Linked DNA regions of Caenorhabditis elegans. The protein of the gene in region 1 interacts with the protein of each later gene in a pairwise test. Each region holds a gene or a part of one and is shown in the gene's direction. Other genes may lie near its edges.

Region 1 (7,071 bases):
TAACCAAAAAATCAATCTAAAAATGAGGAAACGTAAAAAAAAATTTTAATTTAAAAAAAAAACAAATATTTTCAGAAAAATCAAAAAACATTAATTTTTTCTTAAAAATATTTTTCGGTATTTTCCGAAAAGTCGATTTTTTTTTGTTGAAATAACGGGAAAAAATCGAAAAAGTTCGATTTTCCGCAAAATTTAAAAAAATTCAGAAAATTAACCATAAAAACTGATTTCAAAAAAAAAGAAAAATGACCTAAAAATTTGTGCAATTGCCCGAAAAATCGAAAATTTTAGGAAAAAATATTTAAAAATATGCTCATTTTTCCAAATTTATCGGCCTTTTTTGCATTCTAAAATTATTAAAATTTCTCTATTTTTCGCCCAAACTGGTTTAAAATTAACCGAATTATTATCCAGACGCAAAATTTTGCGATTTTTGCTCCAAAAAATGGTCTCGACACGACAATTTTTTGTTAAATGTGGTGCGAAAAAGTGCGCGCCTTTAAATTTTTCAAACTTTTGTTTCTGCGGAAATTTATTGATTTTTCATAGGTTTTCTCACGATTTGTTCAAATTCAGAAAAACTAGGAATAATCAATTAAAATTCTGCAAAAACGAAAGTTTGAACTCACAGTACTCTTTAAAGGTGCGCCACTGTTCGCATTTAACGAAAAATTATCGTTTCGAGACCCGTACCGTATTTTTGGGCGCAAAACTGATTTTTCGGTAATAATAATGTTGTTTTTCACTCGTGATTTGGAAGAAGCCACAGTTTTAAGCGTTTCCGTCTTATAAAAAAATCCTATAATTCCGGCAAATTGATATCCGGCAAATAGGCAACTTGCCGGAATTGAAAATTTCCGGCAAATTGACAAATTTATGGAATTGAAAATTTCCGGCAAACAGGCAACTTGCCGGAATTGAAAATTTCCGGCGAACAGGCAAATTTCTGGAATTGAAAATTTCCGGCAAATTGACAAATTTATGGAATTGAAAATTTCCGGCAAACAGGCAACTTGCCGGAATTGAAAATTTCCGGCGAACAGGCAAATTTCTGGAATTGAAAATTTCCGGCAAACTGGCAACTTGCCGGAATTGAAAATTTCCGGCAAATTGACAAATTTATGGAATTGAAAATTTCCGGCAAACAGGCAACTTGCCGGAATTTAAAATTTCCGGCAAACTGGCAACTTGCCGAATTGTTGAGATATTTCTATTCACCCTGGCGGTTTCCCGGCGCAATTGTATTTATTGTCAGGGTGGCCTTTGGGGCATAATTTGAATTGCCATCGTGTTCTGTCGTCTCTTCGATCTGCACACTCTCTCGTTGTCCCACTCTCTGTCACTCTCTCACTCTCTCACTGTGGGGGCCTATAACTCGGCGATGTACTAAATTTGAATGTAGTGTATGCCGCCGCGTTTTTCTGCAATTTATATCGAAAGCGGTCGATATTTTCTCGATCGTCCCGACTTACAAGCCTATTTTGCCCTTTTCAGCCTTGTAGGACTGTTTTGAACTGGATTTTTTCAATTGCATTTCAAAAAAATAGGAAAATCTGAAATTTTGCCGATTTTCTAGCATTTTTAGAATTTTTTGCTACGTTTTCAGTAAGTTTTTATGATTTTTACGTCAAAATTGGCAATTTAGCTGAAATTCATAAATTTCGGCATAAAAATCATAAAAAAACAACGGGAAATTTATCAAAAAATACGAAAAATTCCTGAAAATCGGCAAATTTCCGATTTTGCCGGCAAAATTTTTGATTCCAAGCGGTTTTAAATGGGTTCACTAAATTCTGAGAATGCTGCACAACACATTTGACGAGCAAAATATCTCGTAGCGAAAACTACAGTAATTCTTTAAATGACTACTGTGCGCGCTGGTGTCGATTTACGGGCTTGATTTTCGTAAATCGACACAAGCACTACAGTAGTAATTTAAAGGATTACTGTAGTTTTCTTTTTCGCTACGAGATATTTTGCGCGTCAAATATGTTGTGCAATATGCATTCACTAGAATTTTGTGTTCCCGTAATGGTACCTTTAATAAGTCGGGGGAGCATCCTTCCTGCAGCCTCTTCTCTCTTTTCTTTATATCTCTCGCTCTCTCACTCGTCTCCATTCTGCCCGTCCGTCTGCGTCTCCGTGGTCTCAGTACTATTTCCGACGCTTTAACCATTCTTCCGAGTGACCCCTCCCCACCTATGTCTTCGTCTCTCCCTCTGCTGCTGCTGCTGCTGGACGTTCCTCTTGTTTCTGCGTCTCTCCATGTCTCTCGTTGTCTGAATCTATCCTTTTTTCTAGTTGTCACGGCGATTTATCCGAAAGAGAAGGACCGTTTTCTGGATTTTTTTTGAAATTTAATTTAATTTTTAAAAAACTAATTAATTTCCAATTTTAAAAAATCTATTTTGTTCTTTTTCAAAAAAAATTTTAATAGCGCAAAAAATGCGGATAATTTTTAATTATTTTTTCACTTTTCAGATGATATCGATTTTGTGCACTCAAAAATTATTCGAATTTCTCTATTTTCCGCTTAAAGCTAAAAAATTTCAAAAAATTAATGCTTTTTTTACCGAATTTAGAGTTTTCGCACTGTCTCCTCATTTTTAGTATTTTGGTTATTATCCGGACGCGAAATATTGCGCTTTTTGCTCCAAAAATACGATACCGGGTCTCGACACGACAATTTTTTGTTAAATTCGAACAGGTGTGCGCCTTTAAAGAGTACTATAATTTCAAATTTTCGTTTCCCCGGAATTTCAATCGATTATTCCTAGTTTTTCTGAATTTGAACAAATCGGTGAGAAAGCCTTCGAAAAATCAATAAGAAAAATTCCGCAGAAACGAAAAGTTTGAAATTACAGTACTCTTTAAAGGCGCGCACTTTTTCGCACCACATTTAACAAAAAATTGTCGCTTCGAGACCATTTTTAAAGCAGAAATCGCGAAATTTTGTGCTTTTTGGGCGAAAATGGAGAAATTTAAATAATTTTGATAGCAAAATAAAAACATTTTTTTAATGTAATTTCTCGAATTTTCGACTTTTCGACTAATTCGACTTTTCCCCAAAAAATCCTCCAATTTTTGCAGAGCTTTAACGGGTCACGATGAGCTCATCATCGTTGTCGTCAACATCAACTCGAGTCACGTACGCCGTCGGCGATTTTGTCTATTTCGACGACACGTCGGCCACCGACGCTCCATATCAGATCCGCAAAATCGAGGAGCTTGTCAAGGTTAGATTAGTTGGCTGGAAAAAAAGCCCCAAAAGCCTGAAAAAGCCCAAAATTTCTCAATTTTCAGACAGAAAAGGGCGGCGTGGATGCGCGATGCGTCGTCTACCTCCGACGACGTGACATTCCACAACATTTGCTGAAAATTGCCGATCAAGCGCAGAGGCGATTCGATAATTGTGAGCTTTTCCCCAGCTTACTTTATTTGAAAATATTAAAATTCAATTCAATTTTTTTCAGATTACGAAGTGGATAAGAAGAAGCCCGAGAATTTTACCACAAAAGGATTTATCGTTGTCAATGGAGCTTCTGAAGCTGCTCCAGAAGCTGCTCCAGAAGCCACCGAAGCTTCTGCGGAGACGTCTGAAACAAAAGTGAAGGAAGATACTGATGACGTGGCAGAGAAAATGGAAGAGGACGAAGAATGCCCGGCCCCGGTTGGGCAGGGAAGAACCAGCTCGACTGAGGAGCCATCGGCGTCGGATGCTCCAGCAGCGACCGCAAAGGACAAAAAAGAAGAAAAAGAAGCCAAGGAAAACGCGAAAAACCTCAAGGAGACTGCCGAAGCAGAAGCCACGAAGCTCATTGACTGGGGTGATGGAGGCCTTCCGCTCGGAGTCGACAAGCTCACCCCGGATCAGAGGCTGAAGCTCCGACAGCATGAGATCTTTATGACGAGGCAATCGGAGATCCTTCCAGCAGCGGCGATTCGTGGAAAGTGTCGAGTCGTTCTTCTGGGAGATGGTGAAGAGGCTCAGAACTACCTGCCTCTGGATGATACCTTCTATCATTCCCTTGTCTATGACCCGAATGCGCAGACTTTGCTGGCTGATAAGGGTGCTATTAGGGTTGGCGAGAAGTATCAGGCGGTGGTGGATGAGTGGATGGAGCCCGCCGATCGGGAGGCGAAGGAGGCGAAGGTGCTGGCCGAGAAGGTTAAGAAGGAGGAAGAGGAGGCAAAGTTGAAGGCTGAAGCCGAGGAGGACACTGAGAATGATGGGTTGACGATCGCCGAGGATGAGGAGATGCCGGAGCTGAAGAATGAGGAAAAGGAAGAGACCAAGGTGGAAGAGGAAGCTACCACCACCGATTCCGAAGGTGAAGTAGGTGAAGTCCTCGTCTGGCACCCGCACCACGCTCTCACCGACCGTGACATTGATCAGTACATGATTGTGGCCCGATCAGTCGGCCTATTCGCCCGAGCCATCGATGGAGCTTCCGCGCCGAAGCTTCCGACTCTTCAGCTAGCCGCCGCCTTCGCCTCCCGTGACGTCACCATCTTCCACGCCCACGCGATCCTTCATCAGGCCAACTATGATGTCGGGCAGGCTGTCAAGTACCTGGTCCCAGTGGCCTCTCGAGACACGTACCCGTGCCAGGTCGATGATTCAAGCGGCCTGCAGACTAAGACCCTTGGCGGACCGATTTTGTGTCGGGATCAGCTGGAAGAGTGGTCGACGCCCGAGATGAATCTGTTCGAGGATGCGCTGGATAAGGTGGGCAAGGATTTCAATGAGATCCGCGCCGAGTACCTTCCGTGGAAGTCGATTCGGGACATTGTCGAGTACTATTACCTTATGAAGGCCTCCAATCGATACACAGATCGCAAGAAGAACAAGCCATCGGCGGGTGGTGGAAGCTCGACGACGACGGACGAGAAGTTCACCAACATCTACATTCCGCCGTTCAACAAGCCGATCGCCGCCTCGATTCTTCCGTACAACACTAGCCAGACGACGCTGATGAACAACGACAATCCGTGTGAGAATTGCGGGACGCTGGACGCTCTCAACTGGTATCAGTGGGGAGGTGTCGGCGATAAGAAGGTTCTGTGCTCGACGTGTTGGATTCAGTGGAAGAAGTTCGCCGGGCTCAATCAGAAGCACGAGCTCGAGCGGTTCGACAAGACGCGGCCGCCACCGGTGGAGCCGGTAGCGCCGACGCCAGCGGCCTCAAATGGAACTCCAGCTTCTCAGAAGGCGGCTGCCACGGCGGCGGTGAACACGTTGACTCCACAACAACAGCAGCAGCAGCGCGCTGCCGCCGCCAACATGCTCATGACGCTGAACAGTGGTGATAAGCAGAATTTGTTGAATGTGGCAAAGGAGGCGCTGGCACGTGGCCAAATCACCCAGGAGCAATTTCTACAGCTACAGAAGAATTTCGCTCAGAAAATCCAGGCACAAATTCAACAACAGATTCAGCAGCAGCAACAGCGGCAGGCGCAAACGACGCCGCAAGTGGTCGCAACGCCCAGGGTAAGGATTGGTTGAAAATTGCACGAAAAATCAAAAAAAAAAATTGAAAAACTCAATTTTGGCCAAATTCCCACCAAAATGAGCTACGACCAATAAATGATTCGCTCCGCCCATTTTTCAACCAATCAGCGTCGTCGAATACCGCACATTCCTATGATTGGTTGGAAAATGGGTGGAGCTAATCGCTGATTGGTCGCAGGTCTAATTTCGGAGGAAACTCGGCCAAAATGGTAAAAAGCTCAATTTAGGCTTAATTCTCTTCAAAATGAGAACTGCGACCAATCAGCGATTCGCTCCGCCCAATTTCAAACCAACCAGCGCCGCGCATTCCTCTGATTGGTTGAAAAATGGGCGGAGCTAATCGCTGATTGGTCGCAGGTCTTATTTTGGAGGAAACTCGGCCAAAATGGTAAAAAGCTCAATATAGGCCTAATTCTCTTCAAAATGAGAACTGCGACCAATCAGCGATTCGCTCCGCCCAATTTCAAACCAACCAGCGCCGCACATTCCTCTGATTGGTTGAAAAATGGGCGGAGCTAATCGCTGATTGGTCGTAACTCTCATTATATAGAAAACTGAGCCAAAATCTTTAAAAAACTGCATTTTTTTCGTTTTTAAACCCAAATTTTTTCCAGAAAAAGACGACTCCAGCCACAAAACCGGCCATCGTCTTTTACACGACAATCTGCCGACGAGCGGTTCGCCGGATTTTGCCGAAAAGCGCGTTCAACCTGAGAAAATTGTCCCGTCGGCCGAACCTCGCCATCGATGATGAGAAGATCCTCAGAGCTAGTGAGTTAAACCCCGGAAAATTGAAATTTTTAGCAAAAAAATCGATATTTGGCGTGTTCTGAGCCAATTTTGAGCCATTTTTGCATGGTTTTCACACTAAAATTGAATTTTTTAAAAGGAAAATTTTGAAAATTTCGGTTTTTTACGCCTATCTGCCTAAAAATTGCATTAAAACGAAAAAATTTGCAATTTTTTACCAAAATGTCGATTTTTTTCAGAAATATCGATTTTTACAACCGAAAAAAATCCAGAATATTACCCAGATGTTGCAATTTTCGCACCAAAATTACGGTAGCGGGTCTCGACGCGAAAATAAATTTTTTGTTGAATGCGAAAATCTGTGCGCCTTTAAAGGGTACTGTAATTTCCAATTTTTTTTTTCTGAATTTTATGCGATTTTTAATCAATATTCCTGTTTCTATCGAAAACACCACGAAAATCGATAAAAATTGTGAAAACTACAGTACTCTTTAAAGGCGCAGCACACTTTTTTTTGCATTTCACCAAATTTTTCGTCGTGTCGAGACCCGCCTACCATATAGCATATTTCCTACCATACCTACCTACCATATTTCCTACCATTGCCTACCATATTTTTTTTGCTAAAAAAATTCATTTTTAACATTAAAACCATGCTAAAATGTGGTCCAAATGACAAAATAATGAAATTTTTCGAATTTTTTGGCTCAAATCTGATTTATACAAATTTTCAGTGATTATGCTCGACAAGAAGCACCTTCTGCAGTCGGCGCAGGCAGCCGCAGGCGATAAGAGAAGCCTGATTGTCG
Region 2 (8,776 bases), on another chromosome or scaffold:
TATCAAATGCATCACTCAATACAGGTGCAGCTTCAATGATAGTTGCTGGAGTTGTTGGAGATGTTGGAACTGATGATTGAGCTGTATCTTCACGAATCCAAACTATATCATCTTCATCGTCAGCCATCTAAAAATAGAAATTGTACTGAGTTTTGATGCTTCATAAAGTAGAAAAAGTATGCGAGATTGGTTTTATTCAAAAAAAACTCTTGTAGTAGTAGTGATATGGATGGCATGTTGGTTGTTTTGTTGGCAATAGAGAAATTGGCAGAACGACGGAAGAGGGTTTAGAGGCCATTTTTACACTGTTTTGAGCCCGCCTGAGTGAGCATTAAACACTGAATAGTGTGTAAGATGAAGATACGCAGAGTTGCACACGGACTTGATCAGTGAAATCGGGGGAGGAGAAGGAAGGGATCCGAGAGATTTTAGACTTGAGAAGTGAAGATAGGTTTTTGGAAAATTGACACCTGGAAATTTAAGATTCATGCATGAACATTTACGCGAGCTACAATTTATTGTAACTTGATTAAACCATGAAACAATTTTTTTACAAATGCTTCCCTAGAGAGGCCGGATATTAAAAGTACAGATGGCAGAAAACTTTCATTTGTGTGAGTACGGTAGTCTGATTGTTTGTTATTGAGTTTAAGAATTTTTCACTATTTGTTTTTTAATGTGTTTCTTGTCTTTGGGGGTTTAAGTCGACTCCCAATAAGAAGTTATACCGTAATCGCTTTTATGAAGAGATGTCTAATGACTTGTCATCTTTGAAATCTTTTGCTCGTGCTAAGTATTGTATTCAGACGAATAATACATTATAATTTTCGAAAAATGTAATCACTTCACAAGCCAGGGCAAGAATTGCGCTTCTGTATGAGCTGTCACCAGATTATGATTTTTAATTGTGTACGGAAGAAAAATTGAGAGCATCTTAAGAGGAAGATGCATCTTCTGAAATAATTTTTCTAAATAAAAATCAGAATTATTTTTCAGCATTCCACCCAGATTACGTGTCTGTTATAATCGTTTCTGGAAGACATTCTATTAGATACCGTACCCCGAAAACTAGAAATCCTATTTCTAGTTTTCGGGGTACGGTATCTAATAGAATATGAGTACCTGAGTAAACATCACTTACTATACGCATATGTTTGCTCAAGCTTCTACTATACCTGAACCTAGAGAAAACTGTCTTCCGTTCGATTTAATTTGGCAACGAAATGTTCCAAGCTTATGATGTTCCCGTTGTAATTAATTAATTCCCCTGCTTTAAATCACTTATTGTTAACGAATATGTACTTCTCAAACTCCTGGTGTTATCTCCGTGGTATTTTGGATAAATTGGTGTCAATCATTTATACAAATGACCTGTCTCCATATTGATATCATCAATTCAACGTCCCTCCAGTTCCAAGTCGCTTGTTCGGCGAGAGAGCGTAGCAAACGGAGAGACGTCATAGAAAAAGTACGCAACCGCGCGTGGCGGTGTTTGCGTACATCAGATGAGTGGGAGCCAGAATTGTACAAAAATTGGCCGGACAATTATCGATTTTTACACTTTCGACTCATTTTTCACTTATTATCAATGTTTTTCGTTATTATTTGTATCTCTTGAGCGTTTTAAACAATTAAATTCACTGTATTTTCTGTTTTTGTGCTCAAAATGTGTAGAATTTGCAAAAGAAAGGCTTTTCCAAAAATATTTGATTGCAGGAAATGTCGGAAGAATTGCTGAGTACTAGACCCAGTAAAAGGGATTATAATGATATTGAAGAACCAGAAGACTCACACGTGACGGTGCACTCAGTTGAACAGGTATGGTGATAATTGAGAAACATTCTCGCCGCTTATGAATATCAATGCATTTTTAGGATTCACAGCATTCTGGTGAAGAATCCTCAACTGTAGACGCATTGCAGGAAACTGAGGGTGATGTTGACGTAATAGGAGAAGATGAGGACGAACACGATGTACGTTTACATTTTCATTCTCGTATTAATGCATGTGCCCATTGGCCGGAATAGAATACATCATTTTATTTTCAGATTCCCGTAATGCCAACTGTCACATCAAGTGGTGAAGTTCTTGATGAAAGCCAAGTCACTCCAACTAAACAAGCTTCGTCGTCACAACCAAGAGAAGAAATTATCCACGGCAAAGGCGAAAGTGTCTACTCCAGTTTTCCGTGCCAAGTTATTCCGGAGACTTTAAGCCGAATGACACGAACTCCGCCAGATGGAGAGCATTTAGAAGTGTACCGGATGTCAAATGGGAGACTGAGAATATATGTTGTTGATCATTTCAAGAAGTTTTCTCCATACTCCAATTTGACTCATAAGCCATGTACAGTTTGTAATCGAGTAATGAAATCGGGAGAGATGCATCTAAACTTCCCAGCAGACTTGGATAGGCGCAGAATTTGGGCAAATTTGCTTGGATTCAAATACAAAGATATTCTTCGCAGTAAAATGGGTCCTGTATCGTTTTCAATTGCTGCCGGTCCAATTTGTACTGAGCACTTCGCCGAGGAGTGCTTCAGGAATCACAATTTCAACAAATCTGCCATCGAAGCTTTTGGAGTTCCTGTTGCTATTTCACCAGACGTTAAGACGACACCGAGTAAAAAAAGGTAAGAAGAAAAGCTGGTTCTGCTCGAAACGAAAAAGCTTGTGAATGAATATGTTAGCTCGATTTTTGGCTAAAACATCCTCTTTCACGATTTTATAAAAGTTCCAGAGTGCCATGGGTCTGTACCGTATGTGAGTTCCACTCGTGCAGTGTTGTCGAGCTTCAGACACATCTTCTCAATCACACGGAGGAAATGCTCAAGAAAAAAGATAATGTTTTGGATGTAAGTTCAAGCTTTTTAGTTAATACTCTTATTTTATCACATAATTCTTATAACAAAAATTAATATTTTTCACAGGTCCCAGAAGCTGGCTTCATGTGCCCATTCTGTAGAAAATGCACATATGGTTACAAGACAATATCTGGATATCGTCGTCACTTGAATGCTGGCCCCATTCATCATTGTCATCTTCGTAGAATATATGAATTCGCTAAAATGAACTGCCGCGCTACTGAGTTGGATCCAGCGGAAAGCTGGGATAACTGGACTCGTCGCAACGTTTATGTGGCATATCACGGCTGTGAACCACCAGCAAATGAAATCGTACTCACACCTTCACCAACGAAAAAAGCCTACGTGCAAAATCCAGAAGAGCGTACGAAAATGGTTCACGATGAAGAGAAGAGAAAGAAGGCAGTGAGGACATTATCGTTTGTTGGAAAAGAAGGTGGTACAAGTGTGAATGATCTGAACGTAATGCAGCGACAAGTGTTTCTGCAATTGAGAAGAGAAGCAGAGATTAATACAAAAGCAGAAGAATCGGCTCAAGGAACGAAGGAGCAAGAGAGCAGTCAGAAAAAACATGCAGAAGAAGAGTCAGACGATGTTTCTGAACTGTAAGTTTTGTCAAAAAATGTTCGAGTTAGAGAACATCCTGCGTAACGAAATTTAAAAAATCTTACTAAATGGAAATCAAAGAAGCAATTAAATTTTTTAGAACTTCCCATCAGTCTCCACAAGCTCCAATGGGATCTGGTGAACGACGTAAAGCAACACGTCTCGCAACTTCCGCTACAAATTCACCAATCAAGAAGGTGGCAAAACACGAAGTTCCTGCTACAGCTCCATCAACTCCAGCTAAGAAACGGAAAATTTCACACGAAGAAGAACACGATCCAACTCCTGAAAGTGTAGAGAGAGAACCAACAGTTTCACCAAATGATCCACGTGAACGTCTTCGTTTGAAGGAACGAGATGAACAATTTGCCAAAATGGTTCAGAAAAGATCTCAGCAAGTTAAGCGATTGATCAATGCCAAACAATTCAAGAAACAAGAAGCAGCAACGAAGAAGCCGAGAAAGGCCTTGGCTTATAATTTGGCCAAAGGGATCGCTGCTACTTCTTCGGTGAGTTTTATTTACTGAATTTATTAAATAATAGATTAGAACTTAATTTGTAACTTTTGAAATTCCTCTTTTACTTTGTAGCATGTTGAAATTCGAATTACTAGGATAATGTTTTTTATTCAGACGGAGCCAGAAGACAAAGTGACATCTTCGGAGCAGACACCAGAACCGACAACAAGTCAAAAATTTATCGCCAGAAATACACGATCGAAAACTAAGGAGAGTGCTGTTCAAAAAGTTGAAAAACCAGCAACTCCTGTCGCAAAACCGGCACCAGTAGAAAAAGAGCCGGAAGAACGCCCTCTAAAATCAATGCTCGCGAGATCTTTTGTTGCTGGAGTTCGTCCTTCGATGGCTAAATATCAGATTCCATTAGAATCGTTCACAGCTACTGCATCACTTGGTGGAGGACGTTCATTATCTTCTGGAGTCATATCAAGACCACCAACTTCATCCTCTCCTGGCGGGATCTTTTCTCAAAGAGTTATGGGAGCTGTTGCACAAGAAAAAGGGCCTGCTAAGAGACCGGTAAGTTTAATATATTAGAATTATTTATTAGGAGACTTTGATATTTTTTCTAATTTATTGCTTCAGAGTGTGCTCTCCCGAAGACCACTGATCCTTTCACCACGAAAAAAAACATCAACTCCACGACCAACACTCTCCCATCACGAGTCATCGCCAAACTTCTCAGCATCTTCTCCGGTGGTTGTTTCTGATGAGTATCTGATTCCAGCAACGGATATGGAAGTTGAAATGGTCGAAGAAGTCATTGATTCTATGGGAAACTCATCGTCTGAAGATGTTGCCACTTCTTCAACATCTTCCGAGAGGCAACCGATGCTTACGCTGGCAGAGGCTCTTGAGATGGATGGTTCAAGTGGAACAGTTAAAGATCAAGATATGGAAGAAATCTCAAAAGAAATGATGAAAGATGCTCATTACTACAGAGCAATGGAAGACGCTATCAAATGTCGCACCGTGACGAAAATGCGCGCTGACATGAGACTTTCCCGTCATTGCATCCGGCAAATTGAAGCTGCGAGAGCCAGGTGAGCCCATGGGAGGTCTACTTTGATAAATCGTTTAATTTTTTGCAGAGCTCGTCTGTTTGGCGAAAGGACTGAAGATTATCAAATTTTCTACTCTAACGATGGAGCACAAGTGGTATGTTTTTATTAGTTTCAATTCTGAATTTTAGTAACAATTTTCGTTTTTTAAAAGATTTTATTTATGTTGTTCTCAATTTGAAACCATTTGCTTTGAAAAAATTCCGATTGAAACATCAAAAATCACTGATCACAACACAATTTATTTTAAAAACATGTTTTCTCCGCTATTTGGCGTTATCAATCAGTTTGTTTCATTCTTATGATTTTCAGCTCACCAAAAAAGATCCAAAATGGCGTGAACTTCAACAACAACAACAACAACAACAACAGCAGCAAGAACAATTTCCAGGACAAGGATCATCGGATTCTCAACAATAATTATTTTTAATTATCAAAGAAAGTGCCTCAAAATTCAAGATTCAAAAGTCAATTGTCCTTTCGAGGATCGCCCCACATTTCTTTCATGTGAACTATCTCTGTTTTATATCCACAGAAGTTATCCCATTTTACTTTCATTCGAAATTCTTGAAATCTGATAAAAACTCCGACTAGGATAGATTTTCGTCTAGATTTTTAGGATTTTCACATTTACTTTTTTCCCATTTTTTACCCCCCCTCCCCCCTATAATTTACTTTCCAAAATTAATAGTTTGTTTTACTTTCCATAAGCCCCCGCCCCCTCCCCAAAAACCACACTTTTTCTATCATAAATTAATCTGAATTATTCACAAAAAATGAGCCAAAGTCTATTTAAACGTTTCCCTAGTTTTCAATTACATTCAAGTTTGAAAGATATGTGCGTTTGTGTGCCAAATATGACTAAAAGTCAATAAATAAATGATTTTGCTTGGTAGGTTTTTGAAAAGAGTTTTCAGATTATTTTTTCTATAGGCTACCTGATTATCCATAACATTATATTTTGAAAAAACCATGAAAAATTTAAAAAAATCCTAAAATTTAGAATGGCATCACCAGAAGCATCGTCTTCTGGAAATACAGAAGATCTTCGTATCGAAGATTTATTCCATCAAAAACGAAATGAAGATACGATTGCTAAAATATTTTCGATTATTTATGCTCCAGTTGGTGAGATTTTTTTCAAATTTTTTGACACATTCCAAAAAGTAAAAGTTTTAAAAAATCAAAATTTCAGGTTTAATTATTCTTTTAATTCGTGTTTTCCTCGGTTTCCACACATTTATTGTTGCATGTCTACTCAGAAAATCTGCTGCTTTGAGAATGCACACTCTTCGAATTATGTGCTCAATTCTCGGAATTGTCGTTGAAAAATCTGGTCACAGGTTTGTGATTTTTTTTTTGAAAAATATTTGATATCTCCAAAAAAATAGAAACAAGTTACTGAAAAATTGGAAGCTTGCCGTATTGCCCAGGCGCAAATTTTTTTGCGACTTCTGTCCCAAAAGTGAGGTACCTGGTCTCGAAATGACAATTTTTTTGTTAAATACAAAAACATGTGCGCCTTTAAAGAGTACGGTAGCTTTAAAATTTCGTTACTGTGGATTCATTGATTTTTCATAGTTTTTCTTACGATTTTTGTTAAAATCAATGTGTTTTAAGTGTTATTTTAGTTTTAAAAATTTATTTTAACGAAAAAACTTTGAAAAATTGATTTCAAAAATTCCGCAGCAACAAAAGTTCCATATATCCATTTATATTTTACAAAAAAAAAGTTTTTCAAGACCCGGGTGCTGTACTTTTTTTGCAAAATGAAATTCGGTAATTTTTAGTGTATCTAAAAAAAATTAAAAAAAAAAGGTCACTAACTATTCCTTAAAATGTTTTTTGCTTGCCGAGATATTCACAACTTCTTAGTATTAAAAAAAAAAGATTTTCAGAGATGAATCAGCTCGAGTTTTGTGCGCCAATCATGTATCAATTCTTGATCATTTAGCAGTTGATATTCTTACTCCATGCCTTCTTCCATCTGTTTGGGATATTCCATCGATTATTAGATGGTGTTTTGGATATGTAGATTTGGGAGCAACACGTGGAAGAGATCAACTTGTCAGTAGAGCCAAACAACTACTCACCAGAGAACAAATGCCACTTCTCGCATTTCCAGAAGGAATTATTACTAGTGGAGAAAAGGCATTGATCAAGTTTAAGTATGTCATTTGAACTTTCCAAATATTTTGTGATTTCGATTTCAAGATTTTTCAGCTAAAAATATGGTTTGTCACTACAAATTTGTGAAAAAAAATCTAAAAATCTTTTTACGCATTTTCATCAATTTTTCATAGTTTTTTTCATAAAATATAAAATTCACATTTTTAATGAAAAACTATGCAAAATCGATGAAAATTCAGCATAAATTAGGATTTTAAATTACAGTACTCTTTAAAGGCGCACACTTTTTGTCGGATAAAGAATTGTCATGTCAAGACCGGGTACCGTAGTTTTGGCGCAAAAATCATGAATCTCGAACCCAAATCTACTAAATTTTCAGTACTTGGTGTTTCGAGGTGTCTTCAGTAGTTCAACCCGTCTCAGTGCGTGTGTGGCGTCCGTATCCTTGGAAAGTTTCAGTTTCAGTATTGGGTTCTTCATGGTGGACTGATCTTTTCTATTTCTTTGCACTTCCGTTTACTGTTATCACTGTCGAATATCTTCCGAAAATGGAAAGACGAGAGAATGTAAAGAAAAATTGGAATTTCCAAATAAAAACAATTATTTCTAGGAATCACTCGAAGAATTCACCGCCCGAGTTGCCGAAACGTTGGCTGGAAATTTGAAGATTGCAGTGTCAAAGTTTGGAATTTCGGACGCAACAGAAGCAGCAAAACGGCTTAGAACAGATAGAGAACGTGCGAAAAAAGTTGTCGTTAGAGAGAAGGTATTTGTTTCCAATAATTTGTTTTCTTTAAAAAATGAAAATTTTCAAGACTTCACCTAGACTTGCGGATCCTCGTCAAATGGACGAATGTGCAATGAGAATCAAACAATCATTTCCATCATTCCATTTATCTGCAATTCGACGTGATTTGGAGAAAACTCGTAGTCAAACTACAACTGTTAATAATTTGAAAGCTGGTAAAATTTCATCATCAGCATCGGATGGTCAAACTGGAAAGGTTAGGAACTACAAATTCGATGAATTGCCCAGAAATACTGAGATTTTTAAGCCTAAGACTACTGTACCCGGTCTCAACACGACAATTTTTTGTAAAATACAAACCGCCGTGTGTCTTTAAAGAGAACTGTAATTTAAAACTTTCGTAGCTGACAGAATTTTCATCGATTTTCAGTTGTTCGACACAAATACATTCATTTATTGGAAAAACTAAATTAAAACAATAAAAAACATAAATTTTAATAAATCGTGAGAGTAAATATGACAAATCGATGAAAATACCTCAGCTACCAAAAGGTTGAAACTACAGTACTCTCTAAAGGCGCACATCCGTTTTGTATTTAGCAAAAACTGTTGTGTCGAACCCAGGTATCGTAGTTTTGACATTAAATATGAAGAATATCTAAATAACAATTTTCAGGTTACATTGGACGCTGGTACGTGGCGTGGAGTATTCGACAATCGAAAATGGCAGATGATCGAAGTTAATCGCCAAAAATACATGAACCGCGATTCTTAAATTTTCAAATTAGATTATTCGATTTTTCTTTGGATTTTAAAACCTTTTAGTCATCATGCCTTGTCATTTCCTTTG
Region 3 (7,915 bases), on another chromosome or scaffold:
AAGGAGCATCGGTGGATGTCATTTCTCAATCAATGATTGAGACTTTAAATAACACTGCAAGTCGTCTTCAGAAGCAGGTTCACCTTGGTCTTTATGCACACGGAGTTGACAACATCTCTTCTGATCGAGATGTGCAATCCATTGTCGGCCATCACTACCCTCCGATGCCAACAGTTGCAAACTATGACATTCCACACGTGCCGAAAGAAGAAGAGAAGCCTCCAGTGGCTAACCTGCAAAGTACATCTAGCCCAGCGACGTCCTCTCCAACAATCATCCGCCCTCGTGCAGCACCTCCACCGAGAACACTGGCTCAAGGAAGACCAATCCCGTTGAATGGGAAAGAACTCAAGGCTGTTCCAATCAGGCAGATTCCGCTGCAAGTGAGGCCGTTGCCACCGAGACCAGCCAATGTGCCAATTGTGCCAAGGCCAACTGTTCCACAACAGTTTATCAAAGCACCAGCTCCGAAACCTATCACACTTCAAGCTGTTGTTTGCAGTATTCCAGAAAAGGAAATCAAGAAAGAAACTGAAGACGTAGCGCTGCTGGAGAAAATAAAGGATGAACCACTGGATGAAGACGATTTTAATCATCCTTCAACTGATCCGGTGCCAAACCGAACGACTGCTTCTTCACAAGGACCATCTTCGTATCCACGGAAAATTGTAGTACTGGCCTCAAAACTACCCACGTCGCAAAGCTCATCACCATCAACTGCAACTTCTGCACAAGCTAGATCCCATGTTACCACTGCGCAACTGATCCGATGTGGGCCAAGTGAAGGCACCGTTCCACAAAAAATTCATTCACACAACTTTGTGCAGAAGTTTGCTCAAAAGCAAAATTTTGTTCACAAGTATGCACTGAACTCACAAGACCACACAGGCAGGCTCAACCAAACTGTACCCATGAGAGCTGCGCTGAGGCTTCCAAACAGCGAACAAAAGTCAGGAGCACCTTCTTCGATCAATGGAAAAGTACAGAGGGATGACTTCAAATTGGAACCACTGGACGATTTCAACGGAGAACCCGACTATGACAATTTAATTGGGGCTCAACGGCTTATGTACAGTGATAATCTCAATGACGCATCGGCAGAAGATGCGTTTGCAAGGTAACCTATATTTTTTTCTGAACCTCAGTTTCATTTCCAATTTTCAGGCATCGTGTGACTATGGAATTCCAGAAGCGCAGAGCTTGCAACCGTCGCTGTGCAGTATGTGGTCACTTGGAAATCCACGAGCGTCTGAAGAATGTGACGATTGAAAATGAAAAGCTGTTGATTATGTTGGGCTGTATTTATCGCGGAGAATTTACTCTAGGACAGGCACAGCTTTTCATGGCGCGTGAGAGCAAAACGTACATTTGCCGTCTCCATTTCCTGGAGACCCTCGACGAGATCTACCAGATGCTACGTCTGAAATCTGCCGATGATATTCTGATTTGCCCATTGGACTTGATTCAGAACGCATTGATCACTGTTTCCGCCCTCCGTCCACACATTATTGCTTCACAACTTCGAAAGATTCTTCACGATTTTGCCGAAAGAAATAATCATCTTCGTGAAACGCCAGCGGTAAGTTTCCGTTTTTAAAATTGCACATTTTGAAACAAATTAATTGTTTTTAGGAATTGAAGAAACTTGGACAACAATACTTTGACTACCGCGAGCCCGAACCTGAGCCAGAGAGAAACGATGTGGATGAGCAAGAAATCATACCGAAACTCTTTCGCCAGCCACGCAAGCAAGTTCTGGAAGCTGATCAGCATGACGGAACTGTCAAGGTTATAGAGCAGGAAGATTTCAAGCTCCCAACTGTCAAACCGTCTGAAAATGAGGAATGCGACAATCCGGGCGTTTGCTGCTTCTGTTCGAAACGTGGCGACCGAGGTGGAATGCTTCGTGTCCCGAGAAGTGAGGAACGTTTGGCTAGATGGGTGGATAAGCTTGGACCAGAATTTGAAGCCCGACTTCACACCAATACGGAAAACCTAATTTGCCGAAGCCATTTCCCAGATGCAGCGTTCAGCAGTCGTGGTAGACTTTTGAAAGGAATGATTCCAGATGCTGCTCCAGAAAAAGTTGAGACCACGTATATCATTCAAGGGAACAACTTCCTCAAACTCAAAGAGCGCAAGTCTGGAACTGATAAGAATTCAGCCATTGATTTGGCGAATATGTTAAACCCCGACGGTGTTGAATATACTCAGGAAGAAGAAGAAGAAGAGGAATATGAAGAAATGTCAAGATCCCCAACGGAAGAGACTTCAGACGACGAGCCCAGTCAAGCAGCAGTTTACAACAATGCTCCAGTGATAAAACGTACCTATAGAAAGCGGGAGTTGTCAAACGAGGATGGACCTCTTAACTTGGTAACACCACCTGCTCATACTCCGAACCCAAGAGGGCGCCCAAGGAAGTATCCCAAGAATAGTGTAACACCAGAAGCTGAAAAAAGCCTCACCGACTACGACTACAATCCGGGAACATCTCAACGACGTGCACTTAAGAAAGGTTACGTACAACTCGAAGACGGAGAAATTGTCGGCGAAGATTGCGAATACGTGCCTGAAAAAACACCAAGTGGAAGATTGATTCGACAAGCTGTTGCTAGACGAAGCTTTGCTTTTGCTGATGAGGAAGAGGAGGAGGAAGAGTATGAAGAATCTCCAATTGTTAAAAAGCCCAAGATTGCTGGAAGAGTGAGTTTTTGAAAAATATATGCTTTGAATTATTTTTATATTTTTTCAGCCAGTCGGACGACCGCGCAAAGATGCTAATAAGCTGCCAACCCCCACACCACCCAGCAACGAATAAGTGGAAATATTTTCATCCACCGTTCCTGATTGTTGTTTTTATATATAATTTTTTCTCCATTGATGTTTTTGATGATTAAGTCATACGCATAGTTTTACCCTGTTACTTTGATTGCCCTTAAAATTACCACTTTTATTTTACCTATTTATTTTAATCATCATTCATCTGAAACCTCACAATGATGAGATGATCTCATCATTTTTATATTTTGTAGTTTTATATCAGTTTTATAAATGTTCACCGAAATTTGATGCCAACTGGTTTTTTTCTAATTCTTTCCAAATGGTTTCACATCACCAAATGACAATTTTCCTTTACTTTCCTATCTTGCTTATCATACACTATCACTTATTCAGATTCCTAATGTTGGCTCCAGCGGCTCCAGCTAAAGATGTTGTCTCGGCAGATGAAAAAGAAGAAATCATTGCGAAAAGAAAATTTCGAATGAAAAACGTTGATGCTATGCGAATGTCAAGCTTGGCGAACGATCGGATGGCTTTCAACAAGAAATGCAATGCCCTAGCGATGAAGTTTGTTAAAAGTGCCGGCATTGGAACGGATGCTCTGCAGCTCACATGTTTCCAGGAGCTCGTCCGGCATTTCAACCCAATTGCCGCAGTTGTTGTTGGTGTCAAAAGAGAGGTATGGCTTTTTAAGGATTTTCTCCCATTTTCTGATATATCTAGTTAAAGGTGGAGTAGCGCCAGTGGGGAAATTGTTAAAAACTACTCCTTTAGTGCCAAAAGGACCAAATATCAAAATAAAACTTTTCAAACATTTTTTGAAAATTTTTTATTTACTGTCAAAAAGTGACAATCATTCAGTGTTTGCCAATCATAATTTTGGAAGTCGACAAAAAAATGTTCTCCTACATTTAAAATGCAATTTTGTTTTGCCTACTTGTATTAAAACATTGTTGGGGTCGGAACATGCGACATTGCTGTGGATTTCCTCAAAAGCTCATATTTTTCATAGTTTTGGCAATATGCCAAAACTTTGACTGGAAATTATGAAAGATCTAAAAATTTTTGGAGTGTTTTATTATGATATTCGGTCGTTTTGAATCATGATAAGGTTGAATAAGAAGTGTTCTATCTTCAATGTTTCAGCCAAACTCCAATGTACAAGCTGAAAAAAAGACAATTCCAAAAGTCAAGACAATACAAACACCTACCCAGTCAATGGAATCTGTTCGATTGGTAAGCAGAAATGTTTGAAGATTATTCATAATAATGCGTATATGGTTTCAGCTCCAAGAGAAAAAAGCTTCAGCAACTGAAGAACAATCAGCTGAGTCTGCTTCGATCATGAAGCATTTTGCGAATACAATTCCAAACTCAACACCAACGCAAAGCGTGAAGGATGTTCTGACGGCGGCTGCAAGCAAGGGACAATTCAAAAGTAGCGCGGAAATTTTTTCACACTTTCCAAGTGAACCCAGCCCCTCGAAACCCCGTGCCACACGAGAGGGATCTCAACCGAGTGACTACACGTATTGTACCTATCTGACTCCGTGCATACTCTGCGAGAAGGCTCTTTTAATGCGAGAAAGCATTGCAATGACTGATAACGAAGCTGTGAAAGTTTTGATGGCGGCAGTGATGTCTGGCCACTTTAGAATGGCAACTGCAGAGAAAGCGATTCGTCATGAGAGGCTAAGGATGTGCTATGATCATGTTGATTTTGTAGTAAGTTGTTCAGTATTTTTTTCAAAATAGTTAAGTTTGAAAAGCTGTGAAAACTTTTCTAAAGCTGATTAGAACATAAATTCTAATTTAAAAGTTATTAATTTTATTTATAATTTTCATGGCAAAAGTTCAAAATTTTTGGTGTTTTGTTTAGTACAACCTCTATTTTATTTTATATATGTGATCGATATTAATACATTAGACTAGAAAACAAGAATTAAAGGACGATCCGTTCTTCAAGTCCTATGCACTACGGATCTGGGATTCAGGTGGTGCTCCCACTGAGTTATAATTTAAGCCACGTCCTAGCCGGGGACTGTGGCCGATAATCCTATCGTGGACTGCTCTACTTACCAATAGAGGCTGGATGAAAACCTAGGTGGTGAGGTTGGACTTGAACTTGTGACCTCCAGATTGCTAGCGGCCACCACTACCGACTGAGCTATCCTGCCCCCTTTTAGTTTAGAGATTTTAGTTTAAAAAAAACCATACACCACTTTTTCAGTACGAAATGATGTGCGACGCCTTTGAAGCTAAAACGGAAAGCGAGATCAATGAGATGCCACCGGACAGATTGATGCGTGGCCATGATATCTATAGAGCACTGAAGGTTTGATTGTCATATCTCGTTGTTCTACAACGGTGAAATGTTTTAAGAGAGTCGGCGACCTGCACAAAGGGAAGGTTACGTCGAACACTCCGCTTTACTCATTCAAGAATTCCATTAAATCTTATTACCGTAACCACGTGCCAAGGATGGTCAATGGGTCTCTCAGTAAACCGTCTCCCAAACCGTTCTCAGAGCTGGTTGCGCTTTTGCAATCGGTGAGTCTTGTGACACTTGTGAAAATTTTAAAAAAATTTAAAAAATTATTCGTTTAAGGTGCCTCCATCGACGAATCTAAATGAGTTGCTGAATCATAATCTTAGCCTCAGTGATGCTGATAAGCAAGAACTCATTCAACTCATCAATGGGAAAGATAATCGTTTCACATCTCGGAGACGGAAAATCGAGGATATTCTTGACAACAAGTTTGCTGCTGCAGCTGCAAAAGCTTATCGAGATCACAGTGAAGATGCACCTAGTGAACCGTATATTCCCAATCAAAGTGAGATGCAGAACACTGTAGAACGCAGAAAGCGAAAGCTTCATTCGCCTGAACAGGATGATGCTGGATCATCGAGTATCTCATGGAACGCAAAAAAAACGAAAACTCCAATTGACTATGTTCACCTAGCAACGCGTGTTTTGGAAGGTCATTCAATTGCCGACGAGGCGCTTTTGCACAAATCCAAAGTTTCTTATGCTCGTAATGCATTTGGTGAGAAGCCAAGCTCCCCCACTCCGCCATCTGCGCCACTAAAGTTCTGTGTTGTCAATGGAAAGAAATACTTGCGTTTTGAAAACGGAACCGGACCTCCGAAAGTTGTAGTTCAAGGGAATGTCGTTCTTCGCACTAATACTCTTAAAGACGCATTGACTACAGCGCCACGTGCACAAAACCAGCCTTCTACGTCCACAGACTCATCAAGCTCATCCGAGATGGAGGGAATACGTCAATCATTTGGGGCGCCTCAAAAGGAAGAAGAAGAAGAAGAATTAGTACCTACGCTTCTTCAAAACAAACCTACCCACGTGGAATCTTCGAGCCCCGTTGAAAAAAAACCACCAACCAAAACGAACGTAGAGAAACCAGCGGTCCGTCTAGGAAGAATGTTAACGACTGCATTTGGTTCAATGAGTTACCGAACAAGAAAATCGGTAGAGAATAAAACGGATCTCTTAAATCAGCCAACATCTGCCTCACCAAGACGCATGATTAAAGTTGTGAGAAACCGAAATCCTCACCTTGCGAAACAAGTGGCCGCCGCACCGAGTGAGCCAAAACATATTCCGCCAACGCACATGGAAAAGAAGCCGGAAGAGTTGCTCATGGATCCAAAGCCTGAGCCAATTTTTTAAACGTTCTTGATAACTTTGATTATTATCTTTTTAGTTCAATTTCATGTTTTTTTTAAACTGTTTTTTTCTCATCACAATCGATCTTATAAATATGTTACTTGTTATCAAAACTATTTCAAGAATTTCGAGTTTAGCGCATTTCGTGAGGAGGAAGTCTGAAATTAAAAGTTTTTGCAATGAATTTTTGTTCGGTCACACGGAATTTTTCAGGTTAGAAAAGTGTTTTGTGCGTGTTGGTTTTGTTGACGTCTTTTCAGAAAAAAAATTTAATGGTGTTTATTGATTGAAACCCGTATCCAAAAGATAAAACAACATACCGCAATTCCAAAAAAGAGCAAATTATGTTTGCCGGAAATGTTTAATTCCGGCCATTTGTCGATTTGCCGGAAATTTTCAATTCCGACAATTTGCCGATTTTCTGGAAGTTTTTAATTTTGGAAAGATGCCGATTTGCCGGAAATTTTCACTCCCGGCGATTTGCCGATTTGCTGGAAATTTTCGATTCCGGCCAATTGCCGGAAATTTCAGTTCCTGCGATTTGTCGGTTTTCCCGAAATTTTTAATTCCGGCAATCTGCCGATTTGCCAAAACTTTTCAATTTCGGCAATTTGCCATTTTGCCGAAAACTTTCAATTCCGGCAATTTGTCGATTTGCCGGAAATGTTCAATACCGGCAATTTACCGATTTGCAGGAATTTTTCAACTCCGGCATTTCGCCGATTTGCCGGAAATTTCAATTCCGGCCATTTGTCGATTTGCCGGAAATTTTCAATTCCGACAATTCGCCGATTTGCCGGAAATTTTTAATTCCGGCAATCTGCCGATTTGCCAAAATTTTTCAATTTCGGCAATTTGCCATTTTGCCGAAAACTTTCAATTCCGGCAATTTGTCGATTTGCCGGAAATGTTCAAACCGGCAATTTACCGATTTGCCGGAAATTTTTAATTCAGTCCATTTGCCGGAAATTCGCGATTCCGGCAATTTGTCGATTTGCCGGAAATGTTTAATACCGGCAATTTACCGATTTGCCGAAAATTTTCAATTCCGGCAACTTGCCGATTTGCCGGAAACTTTCAATTCCGGCAATTTGTTGTGCAAAACTTCAATTTCCGATCTGCCGAAAATTTTAAATCCCGGCAATTTGTCGATTTGTCGGAAATTTTCAATTCCGGCAATTTGCCGATTTGCCACATTTTTCAATTCCGGCAATTTGCTGATTTGCTAAATTTTTCAATTCCGGCAATTTGCCGGTTTGCCGAAAAAAATCGTTTGCCGCTCACCCCTCATTCATACATTATTCATTTTCACATACATACTATCTCTCTGTCAAAATCTCATACACCCTCCTGTACTCCCCCCTGCCCATTTACATCACTAGAGAGTATCGCGAAGACGGTCATTGTTGCCCCTTCGCTATGTGTAATTCAGTGCAGTATTTATTG
Region 4 (6,301 bases), on another chromosome or scaffold:
ATGGGAGATCAAGAATTGAATTACGAGCTGGATCAGATGGAGATGGAAGAGTAGACAGGGTGATAGCTGGCATTCTCTTGATGTTAAATTTCTCGTGTTCCCAAGCGCTTACTGTCGTCAAAGAGATTTTTTTCGTTACCAACTCTATATTCTTCTTTGGAGAAATGCTGCTGAAATATCTTACGAACGATTAAAATCAATAAACTTTTAAAACAGTACTTAAGTCTTCTGAGAAGTTGAGCTGCTACTGAATTTTCTGATGGTGTCTTTCCAGCATGCATGAAAAATCCTCCCGTTTTGCGACCAATTGCCTCAATACATATTGCCAAGTCAACACGATCATCTGAAAACCCTTCAAAACCGGTAAAACGACACTCTCCTTTTACTGCATTACCTTTTCTAGAAAGTCCAGATTTGGCATAATCAGCGCTGTCAAAGCCTTTCTGGTACTCATCGATCCAGTGACGAGTTCCTTGATAATTGAGCTTTCCAGCTGCTGTCCAAATGAACAAAATATTGTATGGAGGACGTGTGCTTGGAGAATCATAGAATTTTGACAGAACAGCAAGCAATTCGAGAAGTGCAACTATACCAGACCCATTGGAATCAGCGCCAGGCGAGACTCCTGGAACGGCCGATTGTGTGTCATAGTGTGCCACAAATGCAATCGTAGGTGCAGCACGATCTCCACTACTCAAGCGACCAACAATATTCAGTGGTTTGTATGAAGGTGGAAGTTCTGGACTTTGATCGGAAGAAGTGATACTGATTGTGTTTCCGGAAAGTGATTGAAGCAAATGTTGCAGGGCTGTGGGAGCTTTTTCCGAGCGAGTATTGACATCGTGAAGAATAGAAACGGCGTCATCATTGAAAGGAGCCACATAAACAGCCAAGTCGGTCTTTGCGCTCAACAACTTTGCTTCAAGATCGATGAATGCCTGAATAATGAGCATAAATAACTTTTATGGCAATATGAAATTAAATGTTCAAGCTAACCTTCCGATCAATATCGTTAAGTTCATCAAGATTGTCGGGAATGAAAATAAGCACGGCACCGGTAGAAAGTGCCCACATGTCATCGACATCTGTTGTAAGAAGATCTCGCCATGTTGTAACCATAGTTCTAGATATTAAAATATTACTATTTACAAATGAAATATCCAAAAAAACCTGCGAAGAGTTCTTGCACCCAAGGAAACAGCTTCATATGATACGCGATAATTTTTGCATCCATAAATGTTACCACTGATTTCGTATTGATGAAGACGGTACGCATGAAACTCGGTTTCTACGACTTCTCCAACTTGCTGGGACCCGTTCACCTAAATATGGAGAGTTCATCTTCTAAATCATTACCAACAACTTACTACACAAATGGTTAACATTAAAGTCATGTAGAAAAGAAGAGCCGGACTTCGGAAAAAATCGATGATTTCATCCTGCATCTGAAAAAAACATATCTTAAGCTCAAAATCACGAGAATCCTGTGCAAATTAGGATGAAAGATCTTTCGGAGTAGGAATTATTTAATAACACAAACTATCATGATTCTACAGAAATCGATAGAATTAAACCAGAATTGATGATATATAATACCCGAGTAGGGAGAAAACTGCATGAGTTTTCTGAGCGGAATTCAAATGAGCCAAACATGCTCTACCGTACCTTGCAACAGCGGTGAAGGCAAATCGTTGCGAGACCCCTCCCCGCGAAAACCGCGACGCGCACACACTTTGAAAGTGGGTTTTATCGGTCTTCTACAGTTTTGGTCACTTTCCCGCATTAAAATTCTCTGTTTTAATATATTTAAATTCAATTGAATTAATATTTTATTATTCACCCCTTCTTTGTTGTATTATTTTATCTAACTACACTGTTTGAACGATAATTATTCTTTGCAAAAATTGAAAATTTCAGGAAATGGCCACTCTTGAAGATGGAACCTCCGAAGATCGCGTCGCAAATGATGAATACAAAATTTGGAAAAAGAACACCCCGTTCTTGTACGATCTCGTAATGACACATGCGCTTGAGTGGCCTTCACTCAGTGTTCAATGGCTCCCAGACGTTGCGAAGGTATGTGTTCTCATATAATTCACAACTTTCATGAAGTGAATTCAAATAATTTAGGATAACAGCGACCATACTATTCATCGGCTCATTCTTGGAACTCATACTTCAGATGAGCAGAATCACTTGCTTATTTCTAAGATCTGTATGCCAACGGATGATGCCCAATTTGATGCATCTCGCTACGATACCGAGCGCAGTGAATACGGTGGTTTCGGAGCTGTTAACGGAAAAGTGGAACCCGATATTCGCATTAACCACGAAGGGGAGGTTAACAGAGCTCGTTACATGCCTCAAAAGTCGAATATCATTGCTACAAAGTCTCCACATGCTGATGTTTACATTTTCGACTATTTAAAGCACTCTGCTGTTCCTCGTGATAACACGTTCAATCCGCTTATCAGACTGAAAGGACACACGAAGGAAGGCTATGGATTATCATGGAATCCAAACAAAGAAGGTTTGATTCTATCAGCGTCAGATGATCAGACAGTTTGTCATTGGGATATCAACGCAAATCAGAATGTTGCCGGGGAATTGCAAGCGAAGGATGTTTTCAAAGGTCACGAGTCAGTCGTTGAAGATGTTGCTTGGCACGTTTTGCATGATGGTGTCTTCGGATCGGTTGGTGACGATAAGAAATTGTAAGCTTTTGTTTTTTTTCTATTTATTAACTAATTAAAAATTATAGGCTCATTTGGGATGTGCGCACAAGCACTCCTGGACACTGTATCGATGCTCATTCTGCCGAAGTTAACTGTCTCGCATTCAATCCATATTCCGAATTCATTCTGGCCACCGGATCAGCTGATAAAACTGTCGCTCTTTGGGATCTACGTAATCTACGAATGAAACTTCACTCATTTGAATCACATCGTGATGAAATCTTCCAAGTTCAGTGGAGTCCACACAACGAGACTATTCTTGCATCCAGCGGTACTGATAAACGTCTTCATGTGTGGGACCTATCTAAGATTGGAGAAGACCAATCTGCCGAAGACGCGGAAGATGGTCCACCAGAGCTGTTGTTTATTCACGGTGGGCACACCGCCAAGATCAGCGATTTCTCGTGGAACCCGAACGAGCCTTGGGTTGTGTGCAGTGTGTCAGAAGACAATATTCTCCAAGTGTGGCAAATGGCTGATAACATATACAACGAAGTTGACGAAGAAACTCCAGCCGATGTGGTAGAGAGACAACAGTAAAATACGTGAAACGCGCTTAAATTATTTGTATTTAACTTCTATCCTTCTTTAATTTTGCATCTCAACAAATTGTTCATCTTACCATTTATTCAAACGCATATTCTTCACCAACTAAGTTTTTAAAGTTAAAATGTTACCTTGAGATATGATCATATTTTGTTGAACCTGAAATAAATTCGATGACCATTGTCAGATAACTGTTTTGAAATATTATGTTAACGTGATTGTTGTGATAGCTCAGATTGTGATATTTTTGGTTTTTTGTTGTATCTTTTGTTATTTCAGGCAATTTCAGAGCACAATGAGTGAAGCTGAATCGTGTGAAGAAACGAGTAAAGAACATAGAATTTGGAAGAAAAATGTTCCATATCTCTACGATACAGTCGTCACAAAAGAGGTCGAGTGGCCTTCTTTATCAGTGCAATGGATGCCTGATGTCACAAAAGTAAGAATCGGTAAATATGATTTCGCCTTCTTCATTATTTTTTTAAGACAGAGAACTCGGATTCATCGATGCATCGAATGATTCATGGAACACATACTTGTGGAGGAGTTCAGAATCATCTCATGATCTCAAAGTTCACAATAACGACAGACACACCAGAATTCGACGACGCTAAATGGGATTCGGAACGTGAAGAGTTCGGAGGTTATGGAGAGGGCAGCGCTGCAAAATGGGATACTGAGATTAAAATCAACCATCCAGGAGAAGTTCATAGGGCACGTTACATGCCACATAATCCTTTCATTATTGCAAGTCGAGGTCCTTCTGATGACGTTTATATTTTCGACTACACGAAGCACCCATCTGAACCAAAAGACACCAAATTTCGACCTCAATTGCGATTGAAAGGCCATGAAGGCGAAGGATATGGAATGTCGTGGAGCAACACCAGAGAGGGACATTTGCTAACTGCCGGCGATGACGGAATGGTATTTCTAACAAAAGATATACATAAATATACATTTTTTAAGATTTGCCACTGGGATATAAACGCGAATCAGACCATTTCCGGTCAAATAGTGCCACAAAGCAAGTTTAAAGGTCATTCATCAAATGCGGAGGATGTTTCTTTTCACGCGCTCCATAATTTCGTTTTTGGATCTGTTGGAGATGATAGAAAACTGTAAGTATAAATACATCATACCATTCTGTCGAGATTTCAAAATAATTTTCACGTCTTTAGAAACCTATGGGATCTGCGTCAATCAAAGCCACAGCTCACAGCCGTCGGACATACTGCAGAAGTTAATTGTATTACTTTCAATCCGTTTTCCGAATACATTTTAGCAACCGGATCTGTTGATAAAACGGTTGCTTTGTGGGATATGAGGAATATGCGCAAAAAAATGTACACGCTGAAACATCACAACGACGAAATATTTCAAGTATCGTTCAGCCCGCATTATGAAACTGTTCTGGCTAGTAGTGGATCGGATGAGTAAGTTTTTTCCTAATAAGTTGTATTTGTTTAACCTATGAAATTTCAAAAATTTCAGTCGGGTTATCGTTTGGGATATTTCTAAAATTCAAGACCCATCGTCTTCATCAGCTGCATCATCTGATTCTGTTCCACCAGAAGTTATTTTTATTCACGCTGGGCATACTGGAAAAGTTGCAGATTTCTCTTGGAATCCCAACCGCCCATGGACTATTTGCAGCAGCGACGAATTTAATGCATTACAGGCAAGAATTATTTTCAAAAAATTAATCATAACTATTTAATGGTTTTTCAGGTGTGGGAAGTTTCAAACAGTTTAGTTTCGTCGGAAAAATGGGAGACCGAAATGATTTAATCGTCTAAATTGCACTTTGTCGAATTTTACTAATTTTCTCACTTCTGATCTTTGAATGTAAAAATCACATTCCTATCAATGAACGTTTTTTCATTTTCTTTCATATTGTGTTCATCTATTCAGAATTAATTTCTCAGGTTTTCTCTGCCACTAAATATTTACTTTGAAAAATAGTGTGTTCACAATGGGGCGCACTTGCGAAACCATGTTTAGTCGGTTTACATTGCTTATTTTCTTACGATAAGGAATATATTGATTAAACATATTTCAAGGTTATCCAGAAAGAAAATGTTGAGAAATTGGAGACTTTTGGTAAGAAGTTTTGCAACAAATTCAAGTGAGGAAATCGCTCCGAAGGTTGATGTTAGTTTGTGAGTTTTCATTTTTTGCATGTTCAAAAAACAAAAAAAAACATTTTTTTAGTCTACGTCCCCGTCATCGAATCATTGCTGCTGGTGGGATGCCACCGGTTCAATTTGATTCTGAGCGTGAACGAGCATCTCGTCGTGAAAGATTCGGAAAATATGGTCTAAAAAGTGGTGTACCAGTTGAAGAGCTGTTCCCAACAGCTGAAGAAATTGAGGAAGAAGAAGCCATTGGATTGTTCAGAGAATTTAATAATGCTAAGAAAGAATACAAAGAACTACAGAAAAAGAAGAGGGAATCAGAGTTAGCGAGGTATACTTTAATTGTAATTTCAAAATTAGCAACATTTTAAAACATAACTTTAAAAAATTTAGAATCGTTCGATAATTTTGCTTCAATTTTGCGAAAATAGGGCAAAAATTAATTGTTTTTGAATTTCGTGCAAGTGGCTGACATGCACGAAATCGGCTTTCCTTGATTTTTTTCTTCAATATTTTATTTGAAACACCGTTTGTCAAATTTTCGGACAATTATATGTTTAAAAAATTAAAAATAGAATTATCGATTTTTAAGACATTTTTGAAATTTTAGTCTTTGCGAATTCTTTACACAAAAATGCCTGAAAAATTTACAAATATGTCATCTGAATCCATTTTCAGAATTGCTGAACTCGAGAAAAATCTCAAAAAGTATCCTGCAACACTTGCAAAATATGAAGCTTCATTGGTTAAACAAGAACAAGAGAAAGACGAAAAGGAAGTAGCACTTGAAAAACGAATTCGTGACATTCAAGAATACTTTGGATATTGGATGGATCCAAAAGATCCAAGATTCGAAGTGATGCTACAGCAAAAAGAAGCAGA

What was found.
Region 2: the proteins of lin-40 (region 1) and lin-36 interact in a two-hybrid assay, tested with the Caenorhabditis elegans proteins (3 studies listed by BioGRID).
Region 3: the proteins of lin-40 (region 1) and lin-15A interact in a two-hybrid assay, tested with the Caenorhabditis elegans proteins (one study listed by BioGRID).
Region 4: the proteins of lin-40 (region 1) and lin-53 interact in a two-hybrid assay, tested with the Caenorhabditis elegans proteins (4 studies listed by BioGRID).

The regions. Positions count from the first base shown.
Region 1 is NC_003283.11:3,701,905-3,708,975, forward strand, and holds the start of lin-40 (DIOX_N domain-containing protein), read left to right. Parts: upstream 1-3,090; 5' UTR 3,091-3,107; coding exon 3,108-3,236; intron 3,237-3,303; coding exon 3,304-3,412; intron 3,413-3,473; coding exon 3,474-5,491; intron 5,492-6,126; coding exon 6,127-6,283; intron 6,284-6,996; coding exon 6,997-7,071.
Region 2 is NC_003281.10:8,013,814-8,022,589, reverse strand, and holds lin-36 (Protein lin-36), read left to right. Parts: upstream 1-1,716; 5' UTR 1,717-1,719; coding exon 1,720-1,818; intron 1,819-1,874; coding exon 1,875-1,973; intron 1,974-2,048; coding exon 2,049-2,632; intron 2,633-2,733; coding exon 2,734-2,854; intron 2,855-2,929; coding exon 2,930-3,468; intron 3,469-3,569; coding exon 3,570-3,978; intron 3,979-4,101; coding exon 4,102-4,506; intron 4,507-4,572; coding exon 4,573-5,030; intron 5,031-5,078; coding exon 5,079-5,145; intron 5,146-5,360; coding exon 5,361-5,468; 3' UTR 5,469-5,942; downstream 5,943-8,776. Other genes in the region: F44B9.2 (uncharacterized protein), read right to left, coding at 1-127; F44B9.5 (Lipid droplet-regulating VLDL assembly factor AUP1 homolog), read left to right, coding at 6,053-6,176, 6,244-6,391, 6,947-7,216, 7,558-7,744, 7,789-7,944, 7,994-8,182, 8,603-8,701. UniProt on the Caenorhabditis elegans protein: Required to negatively regulate vulval development. Antagonizes Ras-mediated vulval induction. Acts cell autonomously.
Region 3 is NC_003284.9:15,728,791-15,736,705, forward strand, and holds lin-15A (Protein lin-15A), read left to right. Parts: upstream 1-3,177; 5' UTR 3,178-3,184; coding exon 3,185-3,463; intron 3,464-3,930; coding exon 3,931-4,020; intron 4,021-4,071; coding exon 4,072-4,509; intron 4,510-5,014; coding exon 5,015-5,119; intron 5,120-5,166; coding exon 5,167-5,334; intron 5,335-5,392; coding exon 5,393-6,472; 3' UTR 6,473-6,575; downstream 6,576-7,915. Other genes in the region: Protein lin-15B, read left to right, coding at 1-1,117, 1,165-1,579, 1,633-2,706, 2,756-2,821. UniProt on the Caenorhabditis elegans protein: Synthetic multivulva (synMuv) class A protein. SynMuv proteins are required to repress the induction of vulval development.
Region 4 is NC_003279.8:9,615,377-9,621,677, reverse strand, and holds lin-53 (putative histone-binding protein lin-53), read left to right. Parts: upstream 1-1,917; 5' UTR 1,918-1,920; coding exon 1,921-2,076; intron 2,077-2,130; coding exon 2,131-2,714; intron 2,715-2,761; coding exon 2,762-3,275; 3' UTR 3,276-3,467; downstream 3,468-6,301. Other genes in the region: nra-2 (Nicalin), read right to left, coding at 1-179, 220-352, 395-938, 997-1,123, 1,171-1,322, 1,368-1,445; putative histone-binding protein rba-1, read left to right, coding at 3,577-3,720, 3,768-4,208, 4,251-4,402, 4,463-4,717, 4,776-4,962, 5,013-5,072; K07A1.10 (Large ribosomal subunit protein mL64), read left to right, coding at 5,361-5,443, 5,496-5,750, 6,098-6,301. UniProt on the Caenorhabditis elegans protein: Core histone-binding subunit that may target chromatin assembly factors, chromatin remodeling factors and histone deacetylases to their histone substrates in a manner that is regulated by nucleosomal DNA.